Linked DNA regions of Styela clava. The protein of the gene in region 2 interacts with the protein of the main gene of each other region in a biochemical or structural test. Links are inferred from orthologs where the notes say so. Each region holds a gene or a part of one and is shown on either strand. Other genes may lie near its edges. The genes, in order: NEDD8-activating enzyme E1 regulatory subunit-like and NEDD8-conjugating enzyme Ubc12-like.

Region 1 (17,561 bases), on a different chromosome or scaffold from region 2:
TTGATATTCGAATACTTTGACATTCGAATACTCGATTCGTTTTGGACAACCCTGGCTGATATTAATTTTGCTTGAATGAAATGAAGAAAATATTCAACTTTTTAAATTATCATCACTTAAGTCGAGTGTTTGTCAATACATAAATGGGATTGAGAAGAATAAAAAAAGGGTAGGAGGCCTTATCCTACAGATAAGCAGCATATAATGTACAAGTGGCACAGGTAGTAGTCTTGGCAATGTTGGTACATTATCAAATCCACCCCTAATAATATTCGTTAGAAATGAATCTAATCAGAATATTCTTATTGTAATTGAATAATTAAGCAGTCATTTCTCACTTGATATGAAAATTTATGAAATATCAATTTCTTTCAACATAATATAATAATTACCTTAGCCCTTGAATCTCCAATTCTGTCAGAGTGCAAGAAAAAATTATTTCCAGCATCTTCTCCGGTTACACACTTACTATCGATGATTGTGAATGATCCAATACCTAATTTAGATACAAATTCAATTAGTTGAATATCCAAGTAAATCCAAATCTATAGTATAATTGATTTCAGGTATATGGATTGGAAGAAGATTTTTCATCTACAAAGTAAACTGAGGATCTGACTGAAAGATAGATATAAAAGGTATTACCATATTTCTCCTAGCATAATACGCACCTAGATTTTATTACAGCAATTACAAGATTTTTTCAAACTCCATGCATAATAGACATATCAAGTTACCGTTCCTCTCTTGCGTTGCAGGTGGTTTTTGGGGAAGCGTTTCAGGCATTAAGTCTGTTACCTATATCTCGGAATTAATATGCTCTATGTATTTGCTGTGAAACGGTCTGACAATCATGACGTGATGTTATTTGACATTAAAGTATTGTGTAAAGTTATTTGTCGCTCATCCTTTTAAAAACTGACAAGGCCTCACGTCAGAATGTGTTTTCAGACACCGCACTTCAAAGAGAAACCCTGGTCACTAATTTGAGTGACATATGGTGATTTATGACAGTGAAGTTTTGCTGATTCAGCGAAACGAGAAAAACAAGATACAATGACACCAGTTAGCGTATGCACAGCGTGTTCTTATCACTTTTAGTTCACTTTTTATTCTTACGCTTGAGTTAATGGACTGTTCAGCATTTTTCTTTACTAACGCTAAATTTTCATGGAACTGGTTACGCTTCTACCAAATGAAGCATGATCTGATTCTAACAGAACTTAAGATTAATGTATGTGACAATTATGACTATGAGCTAGTTAAGCATAAAATAAGAATTAATATTTTTCTGATATTTTCTATACCAATGGATAATACGCACCGCATCCCCTTACCCTGAAGACTAAATTTGACCACGAAAGTGCGTATTATACGCGGAGAAATACGGTAATTCCTGATTAGGTAGCTATCACAGGTATCAAAAGCAGGTATTGGTATTAGATGAATAAAAAGTATCCGTAGTAGATAACTAGTTTAACTAGGAGTAGATGACTGAAAGGTTAGATATCACAGGTATCAGTATACAGGTATAGAATGGTATCAATAGCAGTTGACTAAAACAGTGATATCAGCAGGGATGGCCATTTCCGAATACTAAACTATTCCGAATACATTCTAAAATAATGTTTTCGAATCTGGAATTCCGAATACATTCTAAAATCGAAAATAACACATTTTTGTTTTAGTTGATTAAAACCCAGTAAATTAGGAAATAAGCTTCAATAGAAATATCAGAATGAAGCCACAAACCAACAGTATATGTACACAAAGTAATTGATAGTTTATAGCTATCAATAAAAAATAATAGCAACTTGTGACACAGTCAGTTTATTAACATTATTCACTTTGTACAAATGACCATATGAAATAATAGCCAAGGAGTTGTCTGACGCTTTCTATCATTGGTACCATGATATTACGATAATAGTCAAGTCTATTGACAAAAATACTACTTGTATTCAGATAATTGTGTATATTTTCTGAGAGTAATAAAATTTATTGGCAATACAGGCAACAACAATCGAAAATCCATTATGCCTCTAAAAATTCTAATATTTGAGGTATTCTACTACCTACCAGTATATTGTTATTATGTGTAACATAATGTTGTGTTTGGAATTAGAAATAAATTAGTAGAGAATAGCTGACCACCACTGCCAGCGCGCAGCCAGGATTTTCGAAATCGGAAATTCCCATTGCCGCCTGTAACACCCACCGCCGTCTTTTCAGCGTATAATGATCATTCTGTTACGTAAAATATTCCATCCATGACAACTACGAGATTCTAAAATATCTTTATATATTAATTTAATATGTCCAACGTAACTCACGGTTACTTCTTCTTACGCCAAAAAAAAACATTACTATTTGGTCCACGGCGATCTGTGACCTAAAATTACGAGATAAACTGCCTGATGTATTTAATTTTAATACGTATTTTTGCAATCTTGCCAACTCGTTATCGCCGTTAGAAAAATCTCAAATAATTATATAAAATCCTAAGTGTAGAGTATAATTCATTTCATACAATGAATATACATATAAAGTTTAGCAGTAAATTAAAAAAAAATATTCATCGCCGCGATTATGCCACCTCGACTTTTAACAACAAATAATATAACATCGAATATATATTTTTCTGTTGTGCAAAGTGATGAATTCGTGTCCGACACGGGCATATTTAAAATGTCTTGCTTTATTAATTTAATTGTCTTCAATTTAACCTGCGGTTGCGTCAACAAAATAAAATCCTCACCACTCTTATATACCATTGCAATCCGCGGTCATAAAAATAAAAACGTGAGGTAAACTGTCCGATTAAATATTGTTTTGATCCGTATTTTGCGAATTCGTCAAATATTTAGATGTACTTGTTAACAGTGACTCCGCTCGATCGAAATGCTGCCACTCTGATTATTTTTAGATAAAACTGTTCGAGAAATCCATAAATATGCTGTAATATCTCAGAGTAAAATTTATTTCATCACAATAAAATTGATTGAATAAACTTTAGATTAATTATATTATATACATCCTCACAACCCGGGAAAAAGTCGCGTTTCAAACCTTGTATCGTGTTAACATGAAAATATTCGACGGCAATTTAAAGTAATGGATAATCAGGCAAATCCCGCCCTCAATTAGTGACGATATGTTTCTAAACGCCGACCAAACATGTGTGCCAGAGGCACACGAAATTTTGCGATTTTCACTGCCTAGAAAAGAGTTTTTTAAATTTTCGCGGGCCTCAATAAAACTTATATTGTTTACGGTTTTATTTTCAGTATTCTAAATTGCCGCTTTTCAATCAAAAAGTTGCGTTGTCTTTAGAAACTCGCCGCCGATGAACGTATTTACCAGATTCACAATTCCGTGCGCGTACAAAAATAGAATAAATGTTATCGTTATCGTGGAACAAATTTGTGGAAAATTTTCGTTTTAGAGTAAATAACACAATCGTAAAGGCGTTTACGGGCCTAAATAACACGTTACGCTGATGAGTGATGAAAACAATCACGCGCAAGTTTCTATCGAGAATGTTTTCATTCAACGGAAACGTCTTGAAAGCGGCGTCGAAAATGTGTGACGTCACACAAATATCCGATATTCTTATGAACGTGAATTCCGATATTCGAATGACGAGATATTCGAATACATTCGAATACTTTATTCGAATTGGCCATCCCTGGATATCAGTAATACAAGAATGAAAAGGTAGCTATCACAGGTATCAGTAGTTGATGACTAAAGAGTATGTATTAGATGCGGACATCAGTATTTTTTCTTGGGTAAAAAACTAACTGAAAAACGCACGCAACCGAAATCCATTTTACAAGTCGGAAAATTCGTGATTGCTCATCTTTATATCTGACATAACGTGAAGGGTGGTGGAATGAAACAGCCACCAATAAACAGTGCTAATAGGTTCTATTCATTCTGTCAGCTACACGCTAATAATCTAGGTTTTCACACTAGGCTTGCACGTAATTTACAAATTTACGGAATTACGGAATTATTTCGATTTACGCAAGCGAAGTCACGAATTACGTAAAGTCGTAATTATTGGTCGAGCGCTTTCGCGATTGAAACGAGCTCTCTTCAGAGCAGGCAATTCCGTCGATTGTAAAAAATTAAAAGTTTAAGTAAAAGAAGTTAGAGTTCCGGTATTCGCAGCCGTTTTTCTCTCTCTTGTTAGGCAGATGGGGAGGGCATAATGCGTCATTTACAAACCTATTATCAACTTATCTAAGATGGCCAATGTACATATTAACCGTAAATAAGGAATAGAATTGTGTCGAGACCGATGGACGCCAACACACCTGGTTTCAACTTCTTCGGGTGAAATGAGTGAAGAATGTAAGAGATCAACTTATAAAACATGGTCTATTTGTAAATGTCGTGATAATTAATGTCGCGCTTATCAAACAGCAAGAGACGGAAGAGAAATTGCGTAATGAACCAACGCAACTTAGTCCTTTCGGCATCGGTAAAGCGATTGAGACGGCAGAGAAACAACATTACGACGGGATTTCCCGTGTTTATTCTGCGCGAAATCCATTTTCTATTACAAAATCTTGATGTTCTGTTACCGGTTTTATCGTTATATATCTGTCCGGACTTGGCATTGCTCAATATGTTTTTCACAATGCCTCGCAAATCGCAATATGTCGGCCAAATATGATTACCTGTCTTTACCAAATGCGGCAACTTATTTTGATTTATCGTCGACCTGAATACCACCGGCACTCGACCAAACTTGTGTCAATCTTGGCAAATAGGATTGTCGACTTGAGTTAGAAAAATAAATTAATATTTTCATGAGTGCAAAATAAATGTCACAAAATGCATTGTTTTGCGATATAACTTTGTATTTTCGGAGAAGGCATGTCATATAAGTACGGTATTTTAAATAATGCGCAAATAATTAATATTTGATCTAAATTTATCGTAAATAATGTTATAACATTTAGGCCGCGAAATGATTTAATGTAAAATGAAGCATGGAATTCGGAATATCGTCAATAAGTCGGCATCAATAATTATTATAAAATGCTAACTAAGTAGTAAAGTCGGATATTGTAAAAAACGGTGAAATAACAAGTCTTCGTCGCGAGGCAAGCGAAAGTATAATCAAACGAGAGAATACGCTTGTAGTTGATTAATAAATTAGCAACCCGGAATTTTTATTCAATACGAAAGTCGTATTAATACGTCAATACGATTTTAAAAAAGTGAACTATCGTTTCTTAAACATATTACCAGTGTTGGTAATGATAAAATTGATCGCATAAAATTTGGTGATAAAGTTGATAAAGGAAAATCAAAGCTAATACAAAAGATAAAAATCAGAATAAAATTATTTTGAATTCACTCCTTGATATTTGTCTTTAACATCTGTCTCCGGCGTGTGGTACTGCCGGGAATATGAAAACCAAACTTCGATGTCCCATTCGGAATAGAAGTGGATTAAATTGGTTGGTATGCTAGGTTTAAATGTGTGAAAAAAATATCGCAATTACGGGGTCATTACGTAATCGATTTGGCCGTAATTACGGAATTGATTTTTGTCAATTACGTGCAAGCCTATTTCACACATTTCGGTAAGTTTGCACGCAGGCTCAGGCGTTTGGCGTGCCCCAGTCACTAATTGCACACCCCATTCCTCATGAAAAAGGCCATGAAACCCAGACTGACAATAGTTGTCGATTTGAAAAAAAATTAAAAGATAGTTTTTGGTTTTGTTGCATTTAAACATTAAGGAACCAACTAAATTCGAGTCTCATGTAGTTTCGTACCTAACATACTTCCAGTGGGCGTAGCATGACAATTTTTTCACATATCAATCCTAACCCCCACCTGACTACACCATCCAAAAATTACGTCATTACGACGTCACAGTGACGTAATAGAGCCCTTCAAACTACACGAACTGCCATCCAAGACGCGCAAACGAGCACCCGAAATCGAACAGTTATTTCTCTCGTTTTCTCGTCGCATCGATTTCAATAGTAGAGAGATCGATAACGTCAGTCAGTTCCTTATCGTCGGCGCCAATGCCATTTCGGTCGATCGTGCGTATATTTGGCAAGCTCTATAACGTGATTGTGATGTCGTAGTGTTTTAATTTTTGGATGGCGTAGTCAGATGGGGGTTAGGATTGACATATCAAAAAATTGTTATGCTACGCCCACTAGAAGTACGTTAGGTACGAAACTACACGAGACATCTAAATTCTACAACACTGTAAAATGGGTCTTACTACTTACTGAATACGGTACAGCGCGAAACACCGCAAAGAGCGCAAAACAGCGCGAAACAGCGCAAAAGCGCGCGAAACAGCGCAAAAGCGCGCGAAACAGCGCAAAATAGCACGAAACAGCGCAAAAGAGAGGAAAACAGCGCGAAACAGAAGGAAACCAGCGCAAAACAGAGGGAAACAGCGCAAAACAGGAGACGCAGTCATTACCACCTTCTGCCACGAAAGAACCACGGCGCCTCTCGCCATGGTTTTATGGCGCTATTTCCGGCATATTTACAAGGTTATGTACCGGATTATAGGTCATCATGCGAAATTTTATCTACTTTTTTGGTGCTCCACAAGTATGTGCAGCAATATGTCGCACAGCCTGAATATATACGTTGGTTTGTGTTTTTAATTTGCTGCCGTGGTACTCCAACTCAAAACAAGGTGCCCCGAACTCATTGCAAAATTTTTTTCTGCTTCACACTGTTTCCCTCTGTTTTGCGCTCTTTCGCGCTGTTTCCACACTGTTTTGCGCTGTTTCCCTCTGTTTTGCGCTGTTTTGCGCTCTTTGTGGTGTTTCGCGCTGTATTCAGTACCAGTAGTAAGACCGCTGTAAAATTCCGTAAATTCGTAATTTAAGTTCAAGGTTGAATAGTCAAACCTGGTAAAACCATGTTTTTCAGTATTTCAGTTCCAGTGGCTGTAACATTGATGAGGCAGACCTTAGCGTTTTCTAATGATCTCTGACCATGGTCACCCCACAATCGTAACTGACGATCATACTTCTGCTGCTTATCCATCGCTAGTGCATTTGGATCCAGACTTCAGAAAACCAGTTCGAATATTTTTACACACAACATGCATCTGTAAACAAGATGACAACATATGGGGAATTCCCTTGTATAAAGTTCAAAGGTTATAAATAGATAGATACCGGTAGTTTATTTTTAAAACTTCACAATCTGACAATACAAACAATTCAAAAACTATAATACGTACGATATGTTCCCGTTTAATATATGTTGAGTCAGCTGAACTATACAACTAATAATTACTTCGTAGTTACTACGGTATTGATGTTTCCCCGATTTTCCTGTTAACTTCCGTAACAATTTCCAATCCAACTAGACTAGAATTAGCTACCAGAACCTATAAGAGGCACGTCGTTGATTGTTTCAATGAAGAAAAAATGATGATTTTAGACATGTGAACAAGTTTGTAAGCGCCAACTCTCCAAAGCACTATCATAATAACGATAAGGATCCAAGTTGTGTTCTCTCATATGTACATGTTCATGTTCATATGTACTATATAGCTTTGGAAATATGGTATTTTAAATTTTTCACCCATTCATAATAACTGCCTCATTCTCACTATTTGATTTTTGTCGAACATAAAGTAAAATTAAATTTGAGGAAATTATAATTAGGCTTACGCCCTTCTTAATTTTTCACTTCTTTTCGCATTTTATTTACTATTAAAAAAAGTATAACCTGCATAATCATGCGATGTTCTTTTTTCTTGTAATTTTCAATCTTTGATTGATACCACCCTATTTGCAAATTAAAACAGCATTTCAGCGGATCATAATATGATGCAATATCATGCAAATCTCAGTGTATGCTATCAGATTTATAAAATGGATAGGAATTCACAATCTTATATATGGATTCTTCATATGTCTTTGTGAAAATTATTGAAGATACTATTATATATAGTCTGAAGTAATAATTATATGTACTATATAGCTTGGGAAGTATGGTATTTTTAATTTTTCACCTATTCATAGAAATTGCCTCATTCTCACGATTTGATTCGTGTCCAACATAAAGTATAAATAATTGTAATTAGCCCGACGCCCTTCTTATTCTTTCTCGCATTTTCAATTACTATTAAAAACATAATCTGCGTAAGCATGTGATGTTCTTGTTCCTTGTAATTTTTATTCCTATTCCAATACTTTCGGGGAATTGATTTCTGGGGCCTCTCAACCGGGCTTAAAACTCAAAAATTTATATTTCTTCTATTGTAATTATAATGCCTGCTTTAGAGTGTCCTGTCTTGGTAGAATCTTACCTTAGGGGTCGGTCGACCTTGTTGACCTTGGAAGTCTTGCCCGTCCCCTTCCGTATACATTTTTATGCTTATTGTTATTTGCTCATGCTTATTGTATTATGTACTTGTATCGGAAATAAATCATTATCTATCTATCTCTAAGTCTCCCCAAGTATCTCTCTCTCCTTCTCTAAGTCTCTCTCTCTCCCCAAGTTTGGGTGGTAACTGACTTTGACGACCGCCAAAGGTCGTATCGTTGCTTCCCAGTCATATACCGAAAACATCTGTTTATTTGAATAAACTCTCTCTCTCTCTCTCTAGTCTAGAATACTGTATGTTACAAATCAACTCCTAGGCATAGGAGACAGATACGTATACATATATTGTATACGCTGCGTAAAATATTCAAGCTTCAACTATCCACCCAGTTTTCTGCTGAAGTGCTCATTCTGCTGCCTGTGTATGTCAATGGCAAAAATACTGATTATCTGGGTACAACCGTAAATATATACTACTACCGTAGTAGTATATATTTACGGTACAACATCTCCGAAAAAAGTTACGTCATCCTTTACTTTTTGCTGATTGGCCATTGTTACAGAAAAAATAAACAAGAAAATCGATGCTCGGGGAAACATACATATTAAATATTTCTCTCTCCCTAGCCAAATATTCAATTTGGGCATACAGGCATAGCGCATAGCGGGATTGCTGCATTTTGTTTAAGTTGTTGTAGCAGTACGGTGTTGGTATTCAGGTGTTAGTACCGGTATTTATTGACGGTTCAGGTACGAAACGACTGCAATACGGCAGTCGCAATTTCAGTGACGCCAGCCCACTTTCAGACTTTTGATGTAGGCTAGCTGCCTGTACATTTGATTGTCTGATTGTGGGGATTGGTTTTGTTATTGAAGAATATGTTATGTTATTACTGTGTTAGTCCCTCACCTAAATTCCAGAATTCATTACGTTTTTTTTTCTAAATCAAACTCCATAAATATATGGATGGTTAACCCTCCGTCTCCCATGTAGAATTGCTGAATTGTGGGGTTCAAGTTATCCTAATATAGGTAACTTTATGCCATTTTGTTTACCAACCTTTCTTTTGGGTAAAACATGATGAATGAAGAGCTTGCCAATGATTTCGACATTATTGTTGTTGGGACAGGTGAGTACAAGAAATTTAATGAAAATACACATTGAGATCTATCAGTCGTCAACGTTAGATGTGATTTGCATGAAGTTTTCAATTGACTCCCGATGTCGGGATGTTGAAACAGTTTAGATTTTCAAAACCACAACGTTTCATTCTCAATTCTCCCTGGTCAACAAAATATTTTTATCGTAGTGCAGTAGTGCTTCTAAATAAAATATTCACTTATTCTGTATTCAATTAGGACAAGGTCAAATCCTTTCTGCATTTCTGCCACACACTTTTAGGCTAGTATCGTCCAATGCAATGCAAATGGTCTTCAGCATTGTTAACATTGCAATCTTGTCTATACAGCTATATATACCTTTGCAGGACGAGTAGGCAGACACACACTTTAGTGTCATTGGGCCTTATTCCAACGAAGTTGCCTATAACTCCAAACGAATGCCATACACCAATTCATTTATATGTCCCCTTTTTGCTTTATATTATAATTTTTGGTAAGGTAAACCATAATCCCGTTATCATATATATAGGCGTATATATTGCCTATATATAGTTTGGAAGTGCAACTAACTGCGTGTTATAACAGATGAATTAATATCAAGTTTGTCTTATACTGAAATCCTTCAAAATATTCTATTTAACTTGAGAACGTTTCTCCAGTTTGTGATACCATTACTGCTTTAACATGACTGCATGATGAGTTGATCAACTGGAATGTAAATAGTTCAGCAACATTAAGTTCCTTTGTTGTATGTACAATTTTACTTTTTATCCCTCAATTATGTTAAGCAAGTTTTGCCAGCCCTATTACAGTAATATTGTTATCTGAATCGCCATTGCAGAAGGTTCAATTGTTCTTATCGGCCATCACGACATGGTAAATTTACGCTTTTATTACCTCAGGTCTTTCAGAATCGATATTATCAGGAGCACTGTCGCGTATTGGGAAGAAAGTTCTTCATCTGGATCAAAATAAATACTATGGAAGTAATTGGTCTTCATTTAATCTACGAGCATTTGAAGCTTGGATTGAAGAAAGAGATGGTGAGTATAATTTACTATTTGAAAGATAGCAAACTACTTTGTGTGATGAAATGGATGAGGCTGATATAAATTTTGTTCCACATTTAATTAAGTCTCATCCGGTCATCCGGTCGAAACTTGTAAAATATTGTGCATGTAAAATAGAAACTCTTTTTCAACTTTATCTTGTTATCAAACAGATGATGCCAGAGTCTCAGTGAATGAGATTTCACAGGAAATAAACAATGAAACTGAAGAATTAGTAATTGTAGGAAATATTCGTAAAACCACTCAACAAGGAGTAGTGAAATGTTATCTACCGTAAGTTTATTCACCATAAGTTAGTCACCATTTACTCATCATGCCATCATTTATTCTTGTTATCAAGCATCTTCAAGTCAATTTTCATTCATTTCCTGCTAGACAACTGAGTGAGAGTTGAAGGTTTTGATGTGACTCTATAAATGATCATAAAATCGATGATCCATGAATGCAAAATCATGATAATGATGGGATAGTCATTGAAGACATGGGAATATACTTTGAAACTGGGTATTTACTAATAGGGGTCATAAAATAGATGACACAAAATATTGGCTTAATAATATGCTTGGAGTGTTTTCTTCGATCAGTATCAGTTAAAACTGGAGCTCGACCGATATATCGGGCCGATATTGCGTGTTTGCCGATATATCATATCGGCCGTATACCGCCGATATATATCGGTCATACTCGGCAAGCGCCGGGCTGCGTGCTGCAACAGCTCTCGCCCCTGCGTATATTTCTCTCGCTTTCATTTTGCGTTATAAGGGTGTCTCTCCTAATTCCCGGTGTCTTATGATTAGCCATTTCATGCATGGTCATAACTGAAAAGTTATATCTGGAGTAACAATGACATTTTATAAAGTGACATTTTTGAGAGAGTACACAATGAGAAAAAGGCAAATTTAGTAACAGCATTAAACGGTGGTTCTATAATAGAATCGATTGGAAGCTGGTGAGTTAGTAATCATAGAAACATGAAACAGGTAGCTCAAAGCAATAATGTCAGTTCGGAATTTGTGACCTCCCAAAATTCCAATTTTGAATTTATGGGGTAACAGTTTTGTCTATATTGATGGTTGTTTATCATTTTGCTGAAAATTACAAAATAAAAACTTAATCCATTATTATTGACTAAATAAGGTATTGAGAGTCTCTGGAAACAAAGTTATTAAAAATTTCACATGTAACTGCACATATGCTATCACAATATCGAAGGATCATTATCACGATTCACTTTAAAATATATCAATTTATATTTTTTCAATACCCCTAACATATGTCCATACTATAGACTCACAAGGTGCATTATAAAAGCGTGGCTCAAAATATGATTAATATTAATATCGGCATTGCGATATCGGTTATCGGCCATTTGGCCGATATATCGGTATTAGCGTCAAAAAGTGATATCGGTCGAGCTCTAGTTAAAACTCGTTAAAAACTGTTATTAATAATGTTCAAATTATTTCACAGTGATGTCCCTAAACCAAGTAGTCAATTGGACCAAGATCTTCCACTAGCAGACGAACTAAAATCTGATGTAAATTCGAAAAGCAAAGATGTCTCTGGCGAAGGGAATGATCAAAGCTTTACTCAACATGCTCAAAGAAGTCCAGTGTCAGAGGATATTGAGACAATACAGCAAATTGATCAAAAACAAATGGAAGACTTAGAAACAATGGATAATGGTGCTGACAAACAGGAAGTAATGTTGGGATATTTCATACTAGACCAGAGATTATTATTTATGAGTGTTTCAGAAGGGGAGCCTACTAGCTTGGCATAGCTCCTCCTTGGTCGGACTATGATTTAATTCCAGATATCTGATTTGACAATATTCACTGTTATATCTTGCCAAATATTTAGGTTCTGATATTAATAAAAACAATGTATTTTAATTTTCAAGTTTATTTATTTTTTTTTTAATTTTTCCAAAATTTACTAAACTTTCTGCAGACTGAAACTAAAAATGAAGAACTAAAAAACAGTGAAGAAGCCGTAGAAAAAATTGGAGAGAGTAGTGGAATTTTAAAAAATTTAGCAAAACAGGATAATTCTAAATCTATTATTGATGATAACTCGAAAGAATATTTTTATTCAAAATGGAGACATTATAACTTGGATCTAGCTCCAAAGGTTAGTGGACTTTAGTACCAGAGTATTGATTTGAATTATTGACCTTCTCGAAAAAATTAAACCTTAATGCTTCCCATGACTACTTATTTTGGCGCTCCAGAAGTATGTGCACCAAGATGGCGGACACCGGAACGTCGTATGTGTACCTGGTTCGGGTCAGGCCATAATTTTATTTCAATCTTCCTTATTTTAGTTCTCTTACGTGATCGGTGACTAGCCAAGTGACTTTTGTTGTATTTGTACCTAAAATTATGGCCCAACCTTAACCTGCTACACATACGGCGTTCCGGTGTCAGCCATCTTGGTGCACATGCTTCTGGAGTACCCTTTTTTTAGGTAATTATCAATAACTATTTTTAAACAAGCTTCCAGGCAAACACCAGTATTTAATGAGGAAGCTGAAACTATTTGAATTATTCTATTTCGGCATAGTCTGGCTGCCTCCTATATTGGTGATGGAATGGGTGTAGGGTTCAGAGGAAGTATTCCAAACTGTGCCAAGAATTTTTTGTTTTTGAATGTGTGTTCTCATAATTATTTGGGCCTGACTCAACGTGACCTCAATACAATGAGATTTTGTTGTCTCTGAATTATTGCTGACTCAGTTCTTCCTTTTGTCATTGCTTAACATTTTTCGACTCAATGGAATGGGTTAGCAGCATTGATGACCATTGTCGGTCTAGCAAACTAACCCCGACAAAACAATATTATGAAACAAGCTGAAAATTTGTATTCAATATAGAAAGTGTTGTTCTGTGAGGATAAAATCTCTCTCTCTCCATAATTTCAACAAACTTTTTCTATTCTATAAGAAGAGGAAATTTTAGCAGGTGGTTACTGATCTGAATTTCATTATTATTCTATCCTCTAATACAGTTGATGTTTTCAAGAGGGAAATTGGTTGATTTACTTATTACATCTAATGTTAGTCGATATCTCGAATTTCGGAATGTTACAAGAACTTTAACTTTACTCAATAATGGTGAGAATACTCTTCCAAAATTAGCTCCAGTTCCATGCTCTCGGACAGATGTGTTTACAAGCAAGTAAGGAGTCTAACTATATTCTATCATTATGGTGCAATAATCTCCTGTTTGACAGGCCTTCCAAAATTTGGTATTGAGTGCACAAATTGGAATATAATCTGTTAAAATAAATTTATTAAACTTTGCAATTATAGCTATTGTCATATCGGATCATACTAGGAAAAGACCTTGCTTCGCTACGTACTTCAATTTTCCTATCTCAGTTTCATCATAAGAATGTTATTTGCTATGATCTTGGTATAGGCTGATTACAGCCATAGGCTGATGATGCTTTTGGATTATGACTTGTTTAATTTGTGTTTTAGGTATGAATAATTATGTACCGTACCTCAAAAACATTTGATATTGTTTTAATAATATTATTCTAGATTTGTTACCATGATTGAAAAACGAATGTTAATGAGAGTATTAACTATGTGTGCGAATTATGAAAGCCACCCTGAAGAATATGCAGGTATATACGGTACTTTGAAATATTTGAATTGGTTTATAAATAAACTTTTGATATTTAATCCTTGTTTTTCAGAATTTGAGGATAAAAAATTTATTGAATTTCTTGCTGCGAAAAAACTCAGCAAAAAACTACAACATTTCATATTGCATTCAATATCAATGGTTGATGAGAATACAAATACTGTAGAAGGACTTAAGGCAACTCAAAAATTCTTGAATTCTCTTGGTCGCTATGGAAATAGTGCATTCTTATGGCCACTATATGGTGTTGGGGAGCTACCACAGGCATTTTGCAGGTAACCACTCTAGAATAGTCAAGATTCATTCTCGCAAAAAAAATAAAAGGTATACCATAGTCCAGGCCTGCCCAACCTTTTTCGTCTCGTGGGCCACTTTCACATAACGAAATTCGTTGCGGGCCGCAAACGTTTGTAACAAACTTTAATACTAGCCAAGTCCCGATTTCGTTAGAATTTACATAATATATAAAAGGCAAATATATTACGGTAACATAAAATCAATCAAGTTAATAAATATTTTCTGGTTACTGATTAGTGCTGGCAAAATATTCGAATATCAGCAGTTTACTATTAGAATATCTGTTAACATGGGGCGTGGACATGACATTCGCGAGTCGCTCATTCAAAAAATCAATCATTACACAACGCACTTGTGGATTTCTGACGGCCACACGAGAATCTGCACACAGTTTTCACTAACAAACAAAGACGTCAAAATTGAGTCTTATATTTGAGTCATGGTGTTTTTATTTATTTATTTTCAGTGGCTATGATATTTGAGCGTAATGTGCGCCAATGTCGCGAAAACATCAAATTTTAGTGGGCCGTTTCGTAAAATTTGAAACTTCAATACAAGTATTTAATGAGGAAACATTACAAAGACTTCTGGACAAATATATATACTAATTTGATTGGTAAAATTGCCATTTAGGTCAATTTTATCAGAATTATTTACGGATACGCAGTGACGATATTTCCAAATTGTTATTTAACGCAAACATAACATACACAAAAATACAAACATAAAAGAACAACGTGTCCCGGAGCCAGGAGCAAAGATATTGTTGACTTTTTATTTTACGTCGGCGATAAACATGATCAAAGCCTACAATCAGAGTGAAACTAATTTGGGAATTTAGGTTCCAAATTCATTCCTATAATTGTGCTCAACATTCGTCGCCAATGATCGAACAATCAAGCTCGTCGAACAAAACGCACAGTTCTGCGAGAAATAAAAGAATCTTAACGTCGAAGTCCATCAGGGCGCAAGACTTGATACATACATAACAATAGGAATCGGCATCCGGATGTAGACAGATGGATGGAATAATCATACAAAAACCACGAAACAAACTTTCGCCTATATAACATAGTAAAAATTCAAAAAGTTTGCTCACAAAATTTATAGGGCGGGCCGCAAAAAACAGTCCGGCGGGCCGCGGGTTGGGCACCTATGCCATAGTCCATAGGCTGCAAATTGGACAGATTTCTTCAAATCCCATCACCTTAATTTTTTTGTAATATATTGAATTTATTGGTCCTTGGCCACCTTATATAGACACCTCCATTTTATAGGCATTGTTACAAGTTGTTTGATGATAGATATTCCCTGTTTGTAACTTGTACTAATTAATGTGAATATTCATAATTTGTCATAAATATTTTATGCTTATTAAAGGGTTTTCTTAAAATTATCAAAAATGTAATATTAAATGTTTTCAATATTCATTCTGATTTCTTCAGGCCCTCATATCAACATGTCTGTTTGTTTAAACCCTCTCACTCTGCCTTGATTACACTTACCTGGAAGCTGTTTTATATCTACTATTTTTCACAACATCAAATTGAATTGATAAGAATAATAAATATACTTCCAGATTAGGAGCTGTTTTCGGTGGAACATTTTGTTTGAGCAGATCTCTCCATGCTCTTATAATCAACAAAGAAAGCAAAAAATGTGTTGGGATTATCGATTCAACAGGTACGTGTAAGTGTAACACAGAAATAAAATAGGTAGTTATGCTAAATAGGCATTTTCTAACCCATCTTATTTGTATATTGAGTGTTTGTTATCCATTTCTGAATATGTCTATGTGCATCTATGTGTCTCATCTATTCGTGTTAATAATTGTCAGGCTTCAACATATGATGTGCGTGTACCCCAACCCAACACCGCCAGCAGTTGTTGCCATTGCATCTCTAATTGCCTTCGTGGGTACTCACCGGATCGTAGTATGTTTTAGGGTTAGACCATAATTTTAGGTACAAATACTACGGGAGTCACTTGGCTAGTCCCCGAACTAGTAATAGAACTAAAATAAGGAAAAAATTGGAATAAAATTATGGCCTAACCCTAACCTGGTACACATACTATGTTCTGGTGTTCGCCATCTTGGTTCACATTCTACGGGAGTACCCCTTCATAGGTTTGCAGGGTGATTCACATATACCCGCTGTTACGTTATGGTGCATCCCAACCATTTATTTTTTATTGCAAATCGGTAAATATGAAATTCTATCTTGTCCCAAAGTTCATTAAGTTAGACAGGTCACTAGGTTAATAATAATAAAGATTTACAATGCATAAATATTCCATAATAAAAATCATGTTTTATATCATTATTTACTTTAGGTCAAAGACTTCGATGTGAGCAATTAATACTAGACGAATGTTATGTTCCAGAAATTAATTGCAATAAATTTACGAACATTATATCAAGAGCGATATATGTCACTGATTGTTCATTACTACAGGCTGATAAAGAAAATGTGAGTGCTTGGAAACTAAATATCAGGATTATATACATAAATGATCTCTGAAGTTGCTTAAATAACTTGAGTTAATTTCCAAATACCGGTATTACTATTTCAACAAGGTTGAAATTTCATATTTCAGATAATCTCGATTGATTGTTGTCATGCACAATTGATTAGGATTCTACCTTCTGAATTTTTTGAAAATTGAAGGTATTGTTTCATAAACACATGGACATGTTTTTTCAGATGTCTCTTATTACAATACCACCCATGTTAGACTTACCATCATCTCGTCTTATTGAACTCGGTCCATCAAGTTGTGTGTGTCCTCCGAAATATCGTAAGTATCAACTTCACAACATAACAGAAAGTTAGTTAAGAACTGAATACATCTGATTTGATTTAGTTTTTTTTTTGTTATTTGTTTTTACAATGATCTATAGCAGGGATGACGAACTATTTTCAATGATTTTTCGTCGGAAAAAGACTGTGGGTTAGTTACTTTGTTCGCCTGATCTATAGCAATTTACCATATTTTATACAGAAGCATCCCCAACACGTCATTAATTCAATTCCACTGATTGAATTATTTTTAATTTTGATGGTGTTATTGGTTAATA
Region 2 (17,144 bases):
AAAATATATTAAATTTCCGTCTGCTAACCACGAGACTGTATATTATATGTTTGCATGTGGCGTCCAAGCTTAAGTGTTGATAAATCGAAATATGTAAAATAATATACCTTGTACCTAATTGACGAAACATGCAAGTCAAGTAACGTGAGGAAAAGTGCCACAGGCCGTCTAGCATGGCCATGTATGATTGAAACTAGTAATACTAATATTTATGTTATGGAGGTTTTGAATTTTTTTTACTCACGAACTGTCATGTTAGATGCATTTAAACTAAACCAAGGACACGGTTTTGTGAATTTTAATAACTGGGTTAATGAAGGAGTTCTGCATTTTCCAGGGAAATATTCATTTATGATTTAAAATGACTTTATGTCGAATTGAACGTTTTCTCGTATTTTGTATTCTGAGATTATATATAATACCAATGAAAACGAATATAGCCTTCTGCCATCGCGGGCATAAAAATGTGTGGAATTGCGAGCCACCGTTCAAGGTTGATGCAACCTTAAAATTTAAGGGGGCACCAGCGATGCCACCTGGGAACTACCTACGAAGAGACGATAAACGCTTTCAATTTCTAATTAGAAGTCTTTCGCCAATCTACTGCAAGTATCGTCCTAGCTTAAATTGATTAAAACTAACGAACATCAACATTATTAATCGTTTGTCGTGTGAGTAACTTCCGCGAATGTTAGTCCGCTCCCAACGCTGAGCGTCACCGTTTTGATCCCGATTTAATTAAAGACGAGATCCTGAATGTCTTGCGCGGAAAACCCCGCTGATTCAATTGTCTGTTCTTAATCATTTGCCAAGAATTCAAAACCAACAAGAGATATTCCCAAGGTGACTCACCACAATGCATGCTATGCATAACAAATGAACTTGCGGAACGAAATAGCATAATGACGTATGTCGAGACTTACCTTTTTGTCGATTAAAGATACGGCAATGATGAAAATGACAACACACGGGACGGAAATTCGAATGGAGTTCGCTTTGTGACATGAAATAGATATTCGTTAATCGGACGTGAACGTTTCAGATCACATTTGAATATAAGTGAAAAGCGCTACTCAACTTCTTTCAACCGGGCTTCAATTTTGGGGGCATCGCGTTAGTACATGAATATAAGTGAAAGACACAACGACATAATCTTTAATTGGGCCTCAAGCTTGGCAACATTATGGTGAATCATGAGTATATGTAAAAAATTATTCTAACGGGATTTAAGCTTGTGGGCATTGTGATCATACATGGCTGGTGACGACATAGGCACGGAAGAAGTGGGAATACAAACAATCTATGCGGACACCATTAGTCCGGGAATAGAATATCTTACCAAGTATTCAAAAGTAGGAAAAATGTCACGTAAGGTAAAGCGTTTTGCTACTTGGAATTAATTCGACCAAAAGCAGCCCCGCGAAACGTGTTACATACTTGAAAGGTTAAATTACTACCACGAATTATGCCGGGACCAAGACAATTGATTCATACGAATTCGGTAGGGAGCGTAACATTTTTCGCTTGTCCGATGACTTGGCTAGCAATTTCCGTACTATGCCGGCCAAATGTACCTTTCAGCTCCTAATTTACTACCCAGGGACTAATATTTTATATAAATAAACACCAACAAGCGTGCGAGGAATCGCATTTATTGTGTCTGCGACGAGTGCGAATTGATTTATCCATCATTCAAGCGCAGAGCAATTAAGTAAATCGCGTAATAATATGCGCTTTTAGTGTAAAAGTACACTCCATTACCAGACCAATCGACCAGCCATGTTTCGGTGAACTTGTTTTAAGGACTGTTTCGAGCATTCAATGGGACAAATCGATTAATCGGCGCCATTGATGAAAGACTAAAATGTTTTTCCTCCGATGTTCTGCTCGATGCAGAGTTGAATGCGTGATTAATTCTGGTCGGATCGTATTATCGATTTAGTTTGCGCAATTAGTGTTTTAAAGGTTTTAAAAATTTCACGGTTACATCTGACAGAAAGTCAATGTTCATAGGTGGTCTGAATATAAAATTGTTCGAGTTTGCCATTTCTTCAGTCACGCAGAATGTTAAGCCTTAGGACGCTGGGCCCGTATATTGAACAAGGAAACATTATAATGACTCTGAAATCTTGCGTCGTCAAATAACACATAATCTTCAATCGAACTGATGGATACTTCTAGTATGTCCTCTAATAGGAAAGTATGATTTCCCACAACCAATTAAGAAAACGTAATTCGGTAATATAAATCAGTGTATGAAAACGATGCCATTCAGTCGTATGGTACACGCGATACCTCCAATCATAACATGTCAGACGCAAAATAAATAATCAGCGGCGGTCTACCGCGATGGGCTGAATAGAATATCGAAGGACCGTGTCCGATTTGGAGTGTATCGTTATATTAATAAACGAGGCGATGAGTGTTGAATTACTCCTGTATTGGACGTTCGAAATGTTTGACGACATGCGCACGTGCCGTTCGAGAGGTTTTCAAACCTACTTGTTTCATTAGACTATTATGTACCTATTACGTCAGAATGCTTTGAATGGTTAACTCCTACAGATAACTTTCAAAATGGAAGAAATAATATTAGTTTAAAAAGAAGATGTTTTCTAAAATAATATTAGCAAAAATAGCTCACGTCACGACGTAACTTTACGCGGGCTCACTTTCTAGACGTGAGTTCGAAATTTGAAGAAGTAGGCCCGTATTGCCCCCCCCCCCCCTCCACACACACACACACACACTAAAAAAACGAATGGACTCAAAAATAGGATGACAACGATGGGCGCTTTAAATTTATATGCTAACGATCTCCTTATAGTCGAAATAAACTCTCCGACAGGATAATTATACATTCTCGACGCATGCAAAGCAGCTTTACATTATTGTTTAATAAAAGTTTCAATTTCCTTATTAGCGGAAGGAAGATGTCAATGTGGCAAAACCTGTCAGAAGTTTTTTTTTGCAATAATAGGTTACATGACTGTTGTGTCAGGAGTTTTTGTTTGACTGCGCATTGGATTTGCTGTTTCTGCTTTTAGCGCGTGACTGCAAAAACATGCAAAGTGAAAATTGCAGGTTCTATGTAACAATGGTGCTAACTTGAGCCCACGATAACGCTTAAGTTCAAGCGCTCAAAGAATATCAAAGTCGACGCTGCATCTGGGTGTAGGTCAACAGAGAGTGTTAGCTCAATGTTGCAGACTGTTCTGAAAGTTGTTTACTAAGTCAATTATAAATCGCAAAAGCTGCTACTTGTTACAGATTATAAGTAAAAGTGCAATAATGCAAGGCATATTTGTTTGGCATGGTGTTATAGGGAGAGAATGACCCTATCTGCGCGTTCACTTGCGTGTTATTTAACACACGTTTAATAGAGTGTAACTCCATTCTGAAATCCTCAAAAGTAAATGAGCACACAATGTATTGAATGCCAAATGTTCCTATATTGAAATACACCAGGGGTCTCTAACTCAAAATATGTCGCGCGCCACTTGTAGGAATTTACTGACGACGCGGGCTGCAAACTAACAAATTATATACAAAATTGTTATACCAAAATTAACAAAGTAAATCTGAATATATAATATTTGTTGAAATTACCCTTGAATCTCACACCAAACGAGACATGAAACATATTCGTTTACTTGTTTTGGATATTTGGCACCGTTTAGTAGCGTCGAGAGACTCGATGTTTGGCCTTATTTTGCGTTGGTTTGCTGGTCTTTGTACAGAGGTCTACAGTGTTAACTTCAACTCATAATCGCGTGATGGTGACTTCAGTCATACCCTCCATGCCAATGAAGTTTCAGAGCTGTAATTTGTTGTGTTCTTTTTTTCATGCCATGATAATTTCCGATAGAAATCTTTTCATCGCGACAAATTCTGATACAGATATTGGTGGTTTGTACAACTATACCATAAACAAAAAACTTCGTTTAAAAAGAGTTTTTTTGATAGATCGAAACAAAACAGGTATTTTCTCAACAAACTGTTGTGAAAATAAGATACCTCAGTAAATGGACTTCTTTCGAAAGCGCATGGTTGCACGAAGCGTCAATCAACATGTATACGTTCAAGTCACATAAATGTGCTATGGCACCATGAAATTTTTTTCAAATTGCGCAAAATATGAAATTTTAGTTATAGGCAACATACGTACGCACAAGTATATTAGATAATAGATTGAATTTAATTTTAAAATAATTAAAAAACTCAAGGCTGCAGTAAAACGTCATGGCACCAGAAAACCGACGTATTAATACCTGTTTCTAGGTGCGAGAGCTGAAGGTCAGCCCAATTACTGATAAAAAAAAATATTATTCATGAATAAAATTATCTTTCCATCTTTTGAAATGAACGGATTTACGATTAAGATCCCAAGTATTTTTTTTATATTGAAACAAGACTTCACAATTTAAAAAAAACTTCAAAATGAAGAATAGTTTAGAATTGAATGTCGAGGCCCATGGGCTTCAGCCTACCTCGCTTAATGGTAAGTCCGATAAATCATGCATGTTATAATAGTCAATACATTATTTGTGCAGTACCACGTCCAAATAACAAACACAAATAACAAACACAAATGTCATTAGTTTTTAAAATATTTCCGAAGTATTCAGAATCAATCAGTTTGAAAATCGCAGCTGGAAATAATCCTTAAATTAAATATATTTATATTTCTGCCCGGTAACAATCGAATCTTTGAATATTCGATTAGTACGATGAAATTAATATAAATAAAAGTAATAGCCTTTTAGCGATAAAAACAATTTTAGTCATTGAAAATTTGAAAGTAAATGATTCAGTAGCTAATTAGAAAAGCGATTTGTAATAATAAATAAAAAACGAAATACTAACAGCAAGGACAAGACCAACAACAATATAATCATACTAATTACTCATAAACAAAAATAAAAAACGATCCATATGTACATTTCGTGTCCAGATATGCGAAAAATAAGTTTTGACATATTATTTTCATAATTTATTTTGCAGAAAAGGCACCTTATCTTTATATTTTTCATATAGTAAAGTGAATCAGGTTCGTATCCTTGTAGTGGGGAAATGTTCTTGAATTCAAATATTTTTAAAAGAAGGGTGTTGATCTCGCTCGTAGAAAATACAAAGATTTTTGCTTTAAGGTGGATCTCCAAACAAACCATTCAATTCAAGAATATTTTTCGAAAAAATCTTTTTTTTAAACAAGTCAACCATTTTTTTCAACTTTGATTCTTTTAAATGTTGAAGAACCTTATGACAAATTTCTGTACTCGAACTCGAACCACCAACAAAATTCGATCTAACTTGGGCCTCTCGACCAGTTCCCATTTCATGTTGGGTATTTGTTTCAGCTGCATGATTTGAATCATACAGAAGCCGTAACTAACCGTGTGCACCCACTTTCGACGGTTAGAAGTCCAGCAATGAGCAATCCCCCTCAACCTAATTAGCCTCAACGGTGATGGAACAAGATACGAGTTTCACTTTTATCATTAGGAAAGAGTGGTCGATAAGATGACTTAATCATATGACGAACCAAGATTTCTCGTATGTCACCGGTCACAGCCCATATCGGGGATGGAAATATTTACTGAACATTAGTTCCAGGTTTAAAATCTATGGACTGGATTGTGTGGTAAGCTGTACCCGGCAAGTGGTTACGTAGCACCATACAACGGCGAAGAGTCCAGGGATTCTCTTGAACATAATTATTCTCATAGTGTTGGGCATAGGATAGGATTTACATATCTATCCCGAGGGAGAGGAAAGTGTTTATATATAGTGCTCAATCATATGACGTACAACGGCCTCTCGTCCGGTTACCAGTCCATGTCGGGTAATTAGCTATTTATTTTTTCCAGATGTCTGTTAGTATTTTATGTTTGACTTTTTCTCAGTATTATTTGATGTTAGACTCACTCGATACGCTGATCGCGTAATAATTTATTGTTGTAATGAAATACAGTTTGTTTGTCTCTTTCATTTCTCTCGCAAGTGCCGACAATAACATTATTGAATGATTTTGGCAATAGGATAATCATATTTAATTGTAACAAAAATGAATTAGGTTGTGAAAAAGTGAGAATACGTGCGATAATAATAATGGCGTAAGGTGGAACGGCGAGCAAAACCGAAGCGCGTGATCGGCGGTGCGTTTGGAGACCACGTATTACCCGTGCGGCCGCGCAACTTTTAAAATAATGTGAGGTGCTCCGAAGACGCTCTCGTTTACCTTAATGTAAGAAAACAGTTGTAATATCGGTAGCTAGAAACCATTTGTTCGAGTTAGACTATGACACTTTTTATGAGTAGAAAATGTTCGTATTTTGTGATAGGTGTGCCGCAACCAATGACATTTAACAACATGATGCGCAACTCCGGCATTTTTGTCCGAAGATCGTATTCGATAGCACGCTCCAATGCACATACTTGACGAGACGAAAACGAGCGGATGTGTGCTGCTTTCAAGGCGTAGCACAAATGGTGTTCGTGCCTGCTTTGACAGTTGTTGTCGATTTTAATGATATTTTGGAAAATTGAAGGTAAAAAGAAATCGGAAAAAGGTAAGGTAAATACTATTGTTGTATATCACACCCGGACATAGCACTGTTAAGTACATGTGGGAAAGCCAGCTTTTGTCAAATACTACGAAGTTATCAAATCAATACGGTACGTAGTTGCCCATTTGCCGAAATTGCGTATTTACTTACCCTTTATGGTTTCAAATAGTTCATGCACCTCCATTTAGATTTTTCTAATCAGTGTAGAAATATATACTCATTGCTGTAGCATACTATTGCTCATTCACTTTTATTTGCGTATTGAATCAAAGGGTTAACAAGTTCACCTAACATTTTAATCATACCGGTCTATATTGTATAGTATGATCTCTCAAGTATTTGGAGCCACGAATGCTTGTAATTTTCTGACTAAACCCTTTTATTAGTTGATTTATATACCAAATTCAATAAAACATTTTTTACATTAAACATGAGATATTGGATTTATTAGCTTTTCCATTCTAAGTCATATTGACTGCTTTATTTATTCTTAACGAAAATTAATAAATCTCCTCTCTTTCTTCAGATGTGAAAGTTGTGGACAAACCTGTCTAAGCATTGTGAGACTCCTGTAGCACAAGAGGCAATAGCAAAAATAGTAAGTATATCAATCAAAAAATTAAGCCGACATAAAGCAAAACTTTCAACTATTCGTCTAATCTCAATTTCCTATTATTTATTCACAGGACAACTGTAGCAGAAGGGGAGATATCAGAAGTCTGGCGACATATCAGTGACAGTGTGATTCCAAGAAATATAATTAGAATACTCCATAAATGTTTGCAATAGAAGAACAACCTATGAAGGCATGCAAAAGCATTTGACCCTCCGGTAGAGTTGTGTATGGCCCCTACATCCTGCAAGGCTTGAGGAAAATAACTAAAAATTCCAATGCGTAAGATTGCATAAGCGGTCTTCTTTGTGAAAAAGCACAAAACATGCCAGGCATACTTAAAACAGCTTTGAAAAATGAGGATTACGGGTCACTACACCTATGCTATATTTGGTTCATCAATTTTTGGTAGTACTATAGAAAAAATTCAGGAAAGGGTATAATCATGATTCATGATAAAATACTGGTATATATTTTGGACAACTTCAATCTAGACCAAACTCGCGGCCCCAGAGAACTTCCAGTGCGGCCTCGAAAGCTTAACAATAATTGTAAAAGTATTTTGGAAGTTTTTTTTATCTAAATGTAACAGCTTTTTCAAACTTTTTTAAGTGAAATTGAATATTCACACAGAAAACAATTTACTAAAAGTAGTTTTAAAAAATTAATTTTTTTTGTTCACATTTTGACCCATTTAAGAATACACATCAAGCTAGCAAAATAATACTTGAATAAAACACTTGAGTTATTAAATTGAACGCAAAGTACATGAAGAAGGTGGCATTTTCGAAGAAAATGGGAGTTGCAATATTTCTGCATTTCACAAAATTCTCTGAAGCACATTGTTTAATTTGTCATATTTCCACCAGTACAATGAAAAACACAATAAGCTCAGCAGTCAATATGGCAAATTCGAAGACCAACTTCGAACAGAAAATTTCCATGTGTTTGTATATTAATATAATTATACAACTTTTTTGTTACTAAATATCAATAATAATTCAAGCAATCCTATGCCATGCAATGTGGCGCGAAATGTCTTGTCGAAAAAATCTGTCATTTGTTTTTTTACTGATCTATACATGAAATGATAAAAGTAACTTTTTTGCATTACTGGAATTAATTAAACATTTGCAAAGATCCAGATTAACCCATGATCATGTGACCTCGTTAGTTAGAGTTGGTACTATAAAATTATTTCATCCTGGCTTTAGTATGCTGGTGACACAAAAAAGATGCCAAACGTCAGGACAAATGTAATTAAAAAACATTGAGTTTATATTGTAGTATTTTTGTTAATTTTAGGTCCATATATTTAGATTAAGTCATTTTTTTAGTGTATGTATTATTCTTTCCTTATCCAAAGCTTGTTCAAAAATGATTTTGATGGTTGTACATAGAATTTTATGATTTTTTGTAATAAATACAGTAACTTGCAATAATAGTGGAATGCAAATATTAACATGAAATTGCATTTGAAATTAAAGAAAATAATAAAACTTAATCCAACTGTTTAGTTGCATCCTAATATATGTCACAAACTAAAACTATCTTGAAAATATCTTTCAAGTATACATTATCAAAAACTGTTTGCGGCACTTTTTACAATTTCCAACATGCAATGCGGCTCTCGAAAACCCATGAGTTTGACACCACTGATCTATTCTAGACAATTCAAGCATTTCTTTGGGAAATATTATAACTTCAAATAAATTGAAAATAATCTTGCCGTATTAAATACGAAATCGTTGCTATCATAAAGATAAACCAATTCAGCCACTGGAAATATATTGGCCTTCACAAAGCAATGGAGGCAAAATTAAGAGTTCATGAGCTATGAACTTTTGTTCTTTTCTTTGTCTTAAACTTTTCATACTCCACAGCCCCTATTAATTTTTTTTTTAATTTCAATTACCATGTGATGGTAATACATATCTTTAACTTGTATTTTCTGTAATGATGTATTATCTCAATGTGTCAAACTTTTAATTAGTGTGCATATTTTGCTTCCAGATGACATAAATGTATTGTCCTGTTTATTACCTCAGCTTGGAGTATTGACAAGAAAAAGGTGCCAGTAAATTCTTTGTTATAATCAGAATTCACAATTAATAGGAATTATAAACAGCCACCAATCAATGAGAATTACATGCGAAATCCCTCACAATAAATTTGTCTAATAATGTCTAATAAATTCACCTACTAAAGCAAGTTCGATAGGTGCAAACTTTGTGTTATGGAATTGTATCACAGCACCGTTGGGAGAAGTAAAAACAGTTTTGCTGTTTTGTATGACACCCTCTTTAAATGAAATTTCAATGTTTACGCGTAAACATTAAAATTACTAACTTTGAACTTTGTCATTATCTGCAAAATGTCCCACACAAATCTTTACTCTATCGCGTTTGTAATCTTCTCTGATAAAAAAAAAAGTCTATGATGTCCAGAATTACTCTTTACAGCTTGTATGTCATTCCAGCTTTCAAAGTGAGCAAAACTTCTTAGATATAGAGATTATTTTCTTTCGTTACAGGCGCAAAAAGGCAGGTACTAAACGTAAAGAGGACGCCGATTAGCAAAAGCAAGCGGAAAACGGTCGCGAAAGGCGACGAGAAATATGTGCATTGGAGCGTATCATGAAATACAATCTTTCGCATGTAGTCTTATGGAGTGACGTCAGAGTTGCCTATCATGTTGTTTAATGTCATTGGCCGCAACTATTTAAATAGCACTGCCCTAGATGCTCTAATATTTCTGCGTCGATATTACATGAGATAAATACGTGATTTTATTGTCATGCAAGTCGTTTGAATTTTTTACTTAATTCCGAAAAATCACGGGATTATACGGCTCAATCCCGGGATATCCCGATACCGTGATTTCAAGAACTGGCTCCGAAATCCCAACCCTAGTGGTGCATAGAGTCTTGTTTAGTGTAACTAAAGTTTAAGTTGTTTGTTGTTGTTAAAATATCTATATTTTATATTACTGAATACCGTACTAAATTCGTAATAAATTTTTGGTAGTGTTTTTTCTAGTTACCCGAAGTTGTCATAACGTCATATGCCATTCTCAATCATTTCGATATATATACACACCACTATCTGAAAGGAGAAGTTACTTCTTTGTTTATTCCCTACGATCGCTTTGTCGAGATTGACCATTTTAGCCTGGGTGTTGTCTTTGGTCAAGATTTGTCTCAGACAGTTTTGGGGCCATAATTTGAAGCCGGAAGAAAATCAGTGAGATATGAACCAATAACATTTGTGGGAAGAGAATTGAGAGCGTGTATGGGTGTAGACTGTGCAGTTGAAAATTTTTGATCAGAACAGAAAAACACGAAGAAAATGATAAAATTATTTTCACTAAAACAGCAAAAGAAAAATGACGAAGCATCGGGGGCTTCATCTGGTAGAAGAAAAGCTTCAGCGGCTCAACTTCGAATTACTAAGGATTTAAATGAACTGCAGTTACCACCTACATGTAGTACTATTTTCCCTGATCCCAATGATTTACTGAATTTCAAGCTTATCATTGCCCCTGATGAGGGGTTTTACAAAAATGGTAAATTCACTTTTACATTTAAAGTTGGGCAAGGTTACCCTCATGATGCCCCAAAAGTAAAATGTGAAACCATGGTTTACCATCCTAACATTGACCTTGAAGGAAATGTTTGTTTGAATATTCTCAGAGAAGATTGGAAACCTGTTCTTACCATTAACTCTGTCATTTATGGGCTTCAATATCTTTTTCTTGAGCCCAACCCTGATGACCCTTTAAACAAAGAAGCAGCGGAGATGCTAACAAAAAACAGACGTGCATTTGAACAGAATGTATACAAATCAATGAGGGGTGGTTACGTTGGGAGCACATATTTTGAGCGATGTTTAAAATGATTTTTTTGCAATGTTGATATGTATTTGATATCATTTTGATGCCTTTATAATGATAGTTTATTTATATAGGCTATTTGGTAAGTTTTACCATTGACACAGAATAAATGGACTAAGGTTGCTTTTGACGACTCGAATAAAATACTGGCTATTTTGTAAGACATCTTTTATTTCACCATACGTTTTATATTTATTTTGCATAATTCTGGTTACTCTAAGTGGGCTTTTGTGTAGAAAATTCAGACAATGTTTTATTATAGAATTGATTGAAATTTTATCTTTCCAATGAAAACAAATTCATATCTACATTTGGTCAACTTTTAAAAATAACTTTCTGTCTATCGAATGACATAATTTCCAACGATTTTCGAAATTCAACTTATCTATATGCTCTGAAATAATCTGTTGAAATTTTTGAAACACCTTATAAATCTATTCTTAACATTTAACATAACACAATGACGAAAAATGCATTTAATTTCTTATTTCATCCATATCATTTAAATATCTATCAATATGCATTGTGGTATTTGATTTACAGTCACAATCTTAAAAATTTAATTTTGTTGCTTGAGCTTTCTAATAATGTTTTGTATGAAAATGCTACCTGTGCAGCTTTATACCATCGGAATTTTAATCCAGAATTTAAGATGTGATTAATACTGATTGAAAATATACTAAAATTTAACCAATGAGTAACTGTTAAGTTGTCCTCAAACATATCTAATTTTTCAAATCAATTTTAATATGGTGATTTTTTTTTGTTCATTAAAATTTGTGAAGATGATTGGTTGATAAAAAATAACCCAACAACTGTATCACTGATATTAGTATGTCTATATCTGAAACACATTTCTATTTTGATTATTTCAAAAAATTCATTCATGTGGCAAAAACATGCTATAAAGCCAGTTTTTCGATCAAAATATCCTACACAGATATTAAAATCAAAATATTTTGACAAGGGATTTGTTATCCTTTATAGCAATATTAAAATAATGTTCTTTAAAAATTCCTCTTTTCAATATGATGAGACAAGTGTCCAAAATATTGGTATTGGCCATGGTTTTATTTTCTGTTATTTATGTTAAGACGCATAATCAGAATCAGTATGATTGTTTTGAACCATGCTAGAATACTTCCCAAGTTCATTATTTTTGGTCAGTCAATGATTTTGTTCAAAATCATTTTAATCTTTGATAAATATCTTATCTGCTGCTGATAATCATTGCAGATGAGGGTCCATGTTTTTGTCACTGATAAATATTTGAGGTTGAAAAATGTAGCAGGTGTCTAACTTTGTGCTATGTGCTCAAATGTGGTTATGTAGGCTACCTCAAAGCTGATGAGCAGAATATTCCCTAACTTAATAAAATAATAAAACTCTGGCATTTTTGTGTTGTATTGACTATCTGCTTTTTTAATGAGGTGAAATACCTGTTTGTGACAAAATTACATTCTTATATGGAAGCGTGATATAATAGCATAGGAACCTTTCCCCCATTACGCAATAAATTCCAATTGCTTCTCAAAATTTTGTTTATATTCTGATGAATTGCTCTCTATACCACACCTATGAGCATATTATATGTGACTGCATGTCTCTTTGTATTTTATTTCAATTCACATTGCTTATTGAAAATAAATAAAATACTAGACCAATCCAATCAAGAACAAAATGGAAAATACTTCAAGAGAGCTTTTTTTTGGATAAAGCCGGAGAAAAGTAAAGCACTAATTTGTTACGACTGTATTCTTTTTAATATCAATTTTGCAAAATTACTAATCACTTTTTTTGCCCAATCTGATCGAAACATTTAGCTTATATCAAGCTACAGTTTTAAGCCATCGTTTTAAGTTTTGTCTTATGTTTCTATAATCAATTCATGATTTTTAGGAATACGGTAGTTCAAAATAGTTTTACATTAAAATTATCATTTTGGGCATTTGGCAGCTTGTATTCGAATAAGCTTTAATAGAATCTGAAATTAAACAAACTCATAATTTAGTTAGTCATAATTTTTCTGCACCATAAAGTTCTATCAAATCAAAGAGAGACTATATACATTATGCAATATTTCAAAATATTTTTGAAATTGCGATTTTTCAGTTTTAGCCATCATTTTAACACATCGATTTTATTATTGTGAATTTATTTGTTTCTAGGTGCAATGTCTGGAAAGAAGAAAAAGACTGTCACTACAAATCCAAAGTCATCAATTTTGAATTACTTCTCATCACAATGTAAAGACAGTGCCAATGAAGACACTTCATCTAAAAGAATCGCAAATATAAATGGGAATAATAATAAACGAAAGCTCAAATCTAGAAACACCTTTAGTAACACAAACAAGAAGCCAAAAATTTTGAACACTGAACTAATAATTATTTCATCTGATGACAGTGCTGATGAAAACATTGATGTCAGACTGAATGAAAAAAGTAAAAAATCAGTTGCCACAATTTCTAAAAGAAAAGGCAGAAATAATGATGATAAATCTTTATCCCCTCAAAAGATTGTTCCAGAAATAGTCAATCATGAATTCATTCAAAAAAATAAAATTGCAAATTCTATATCTGACGTTTCGCCACACCACGATGATGAAAAAATTTCTGACTTAAATTTATGTATTTTAAAGACCGACACAAAGCCAATAATAGATGATTCAAAAATCACCGGAATTCTGCCAAATGCGAACACATCTGAGGCTGATGCATTATCTGCTGAAGACTCATCTTCCCTAAATGAAGATAAGGAAGAGAAAATAGCGTACTATCTTTTAAATTTCCGACAAATTTTGGACACTGTCTTAGGAAATGAAGATGATCGCTCCATATTTGAAGGATCTGATGACATTTCGTGGATTGATAAATTTAATAAACTACCTCTTCAAGCTCAGAAACTTTATGTCAGATTATATCATCGTAAAGTAGCTTGGCTTAGATTAGAGCAGGTACGTATGCTAAAATATAAATATGAAGAAATATAATTCTCTATTTTAATAGTAGATAGATAGTTCACTCCTATTGAGACTGTGAATCTAATCATCAAATTTAATGTAATTCAATCCAATGTATGTTCATGCTTTTACTGTGCGTTTGGGGCTCCCGAAGTATGCGAACCAAGATGGCGGACATCTGAATGTAATATGTGTACTAGGTTAGGGTTAGGCCATAATTTTAGCTATAAATACTACGGGAGGCTCTTGGCTAGTCTTCGAACTGATAATAGGACTAAAATAAGGAAAATTGGAAAAAAATTATCGCCTAACCCTAACTTGTTACCCATGTTACGTTCCGATGTCCGCCATCTTGGTTCGCATACTTCGGGAGCACCGTGCGTTTTATATAATATTGTTTGAATACAAAAAAAACTATCGGGTCTGCTGTAGCTTTAGTTCGTTTTGCATTATGTAAAAAAAAATGAGAGAATTAGATTTGAATGTATTTGGGTACTTGCTTACCGAATGAAGATGGAAACCTTCATATGATGACCAAATTTTCACTAGAGATAATTTAGAAAAGTATAAAGTTAATAACTTTCCCGGAGAGGCTTTCATTCATGGCTACTAAAATATTAAAGCTTCTAATTTCAGTTGTTTGGAAAAGCTACACTGGCAACAATACTATCAACAACACAAGTTTAGCAAAATGATCGATCGAAAGGGCCATCTTTGTTAGCACTTTTTTGTTAGTAGTATGGGCTGTAATCCCACAATATTACCAATATATAATCTAATGATTGACTAATTATTCTAGAAGCATTTCCCCTGTATTATTCTAAATTGAATGAAATACATTTACTGTTCATTCTATACAGATTAACTATCCTGATATATCAAGCAATATTCATCGAGTATTGAAGAAATTGGCAGACGAAGGATTTTTATTGTGGTTTGATCAAAATAATAACAATGATTTGAGTTTGTCTGATGTTCTCAAGCTTCTACCTGCACCTAGTCTCAAAGATCTTGCCAAGTCTTTCAAACTAAATGTAAGTATTTTATACTTTGTTTTCGAAAGGTTTTGGAGGTATAAATGGTTAGCAAACTAAAGTAAAATTACTTGAATTTTCATCATTATTGTGTCATGGGACTTTTCGACACTCAATGTTCTTGAGAAGCTTGTTCGTACAAAGATGAGTTTTCGACAACACATGGTAATACACTCATATCATTCTCATAAGAGTATATTTAGGTGTGCAGTTTTGTTTCCTGTGGAGACGTTTGTCACTGTTTATTAAAGGGCCACAACTTTTGAGGGCCCCTGGGCACTAAAAAAAATTGGGTATATTGTTTCGGAGTTATGTTCAAAATTGTGAAACAGTGGTCAAAAGGTATCTATTTTCACTGCCAAGAAATGTTTGTAACGTTACATGAACTATTCCAAATTGATGATGCAAATAAAAATTGGGAAAATTTCATTCAAAGAAAATTCTCAATAATTTATCCTCTTATTTCAATTTGTGTAAATATTAGTGTTTCAAATTCCAGGCCAATGGCAAACAGAAAGTTCAGATCCAAAATGAACTTGAAGACATGTGTAGAAAACAACAAAGTGTGCTTGGTGGATTTTTTAAAAATAAAAAAGCTCAGGCGAAAGGGACTCACCAGAAAAAGTCAGGCTTGGGTAGCAACGTCATGAAAAGAGCTAGCAGATTGCTCGGACCTTGTTATAAAGTTGCTTCATATCCAAGAACAGTGTTTAACAGGTAAACTCCAGTTTACTATACATTGTATTATGTACAAAAAATGCTCGACTCCTTTGAGTCCGTGCCACACAGCGTGATTCATATGATCGTTGGTTAGTTATGGCCTCATCCGCTTTCTGAGATCAGGCCATTTTTGCCGTTTGCTGCAGATAACTACCGATATGCTAAATCCCTTTATCTTGTTTATTTCAACACTGAAATGAATTGAATTCTGGGCAAATACAAAATTTATCTGTTTATTTATCCATTTTCCACAATGAATTCGACTATAGGCAGAAGAAAAAAGTATGTTAGAAAGAATATTATTAAAAGAAAAAGATGAATCAATCATATGGGATCCATGCATGACATGGCCTCTTGTCCAGTCATCAGGACCAAAGGGCCAAAATCTTTTCGGTTCAGCCTCACCAACCCGATTTATTACACCCTGGATGGGGTAGTGGGCAAGGGATTTAGGATTTAAACCTAGTATTTTTAGCTTGCGATGCCAACATAGCAAGTCCAAGAATTTAATCATTAGGCAATTGGGTACTCCCGAAGTATGTGTACCAGGTTAGGGTTAGGCTATATAAGTTTATTTCGTTTTTCCTCATTTTAGTTCTTTTAGTTCGGGGACTGTCTGTGTTAGCCAAGTGAATATCCCTCTGCCCCATAGGCTTCAGTCCCTTTACACAACTTATAATAGGCGAATAAAATTAGTTACTTCCAAATTGGTACACATACTTCTGGAGCGCCGGCCATTGTGCCTTTAATTTCAGATAATTCCTAAACATTGATGAATATAGGTCGATGTAATCACCGAGAATCTTTGTTTGTTTTGCTTTCTATTTGTTAAAATAAAATTCTAGTCAAATTTTTAATATTTGTTCATTAGCTTAGCATTTCATAATTGTTGTTTACTTACCGTACTTTCAAGGGTACTTCTGGTATTTGACGTAACACGTGGAATTGATGATGAAACTGAATGCTCATTAACTGGTTCTCAAAACGCTATGGGGCAGGGAAGACACTTGCAATTGTCTGCTATTTTGATGGCAGGTAAGATTTACATATATGTGTTGATTTGCTTGTTAATTGTAGATGTTGTGGAAATATTTATTTTCTCCACTGGTAGTTGACCAACCAATTACAAATTTTCAATACTTGAGAAGTTGAGATAGATGGTTTTTAAGCATTTATAAAGACTATCATTTTAAAAGACTTGTTTTTTCCAGAATTACTTTCATGGGACCTATAATCATATGGGTCCTGTTATTTCACCCCAAATTTTACTCTTTTATATTAAACCAATGGTAATACTTTAATAATATAACATGTGAGAACACTTTTTCTGATTTTTCACTTTCCTGTCCATTTGT

The links.
Region 1: of the proteins of NEDD8-conjugating enzyme Ubc12-like (region 2) and NEDD8-activating enzyme E1 regulatory subunit-like, one has a biochemical effect on the other in vitro, tested with the Homo sapiens proteins (4 studies listed by BioGRID, with this or other methods). The link is inferred for Styela clava from reciprocal best matches to the Homo sapiens genes UBE2M and NAE1.

Annotation. Positions count from the first base shown.
Region 1 is NC_135263.1:19,893,488-19,911,048, reverse strand, and holds the start of NEDD8-activating enzyme E1 regulatory subunit-like, read right to left. Parts: upstream 7,165-17,561; 5' UTR 7,048-7,164; coding exon 6,909-7,047; intron 497-6,908; coding exon 393-496; intron 1-392. Other genes in the region: rab proteins geranylgeranyltransferase component A 2-like, read left to right, coding at 9,419-9,470, 10,365-10,505, 10,685-10,805, 12,003-12,234, 12,486-12,665, 13,542-13,711, 14,080-14,165, 14,238-14,460 and 3 more. UniProt on the Homo sapiens protein: Regulatory subunit of the dimeric UBA3-NAE1 E1 enzyme. E1 activates NEDD8 by first adenylating its C-terminal glycine residue with ATP, thereafter linking this residue to the side chain of the catalytic cysteine, yielding a NEDD8-UBA3 thioester and free AMP.
Region 2 is NC_135261.1:7,727,834-7,744,977, reverse strand, and holds NEDD8-conjugating enzyme Ubc12-like, read left to right. Parts: upstream 1-10,164; 5' UTR 10,165-10,529; coding exon 10,530-11,078; 3' UTR 11,079-12,650; downstream 12,651-17,144. Other genes in the region: fanconi-associated nuclease 1-like, read left to right, coding at 12,651-12,801, 13,242-14,029, 14,896-15,069, 15,569-15,786, 16,703-16,824.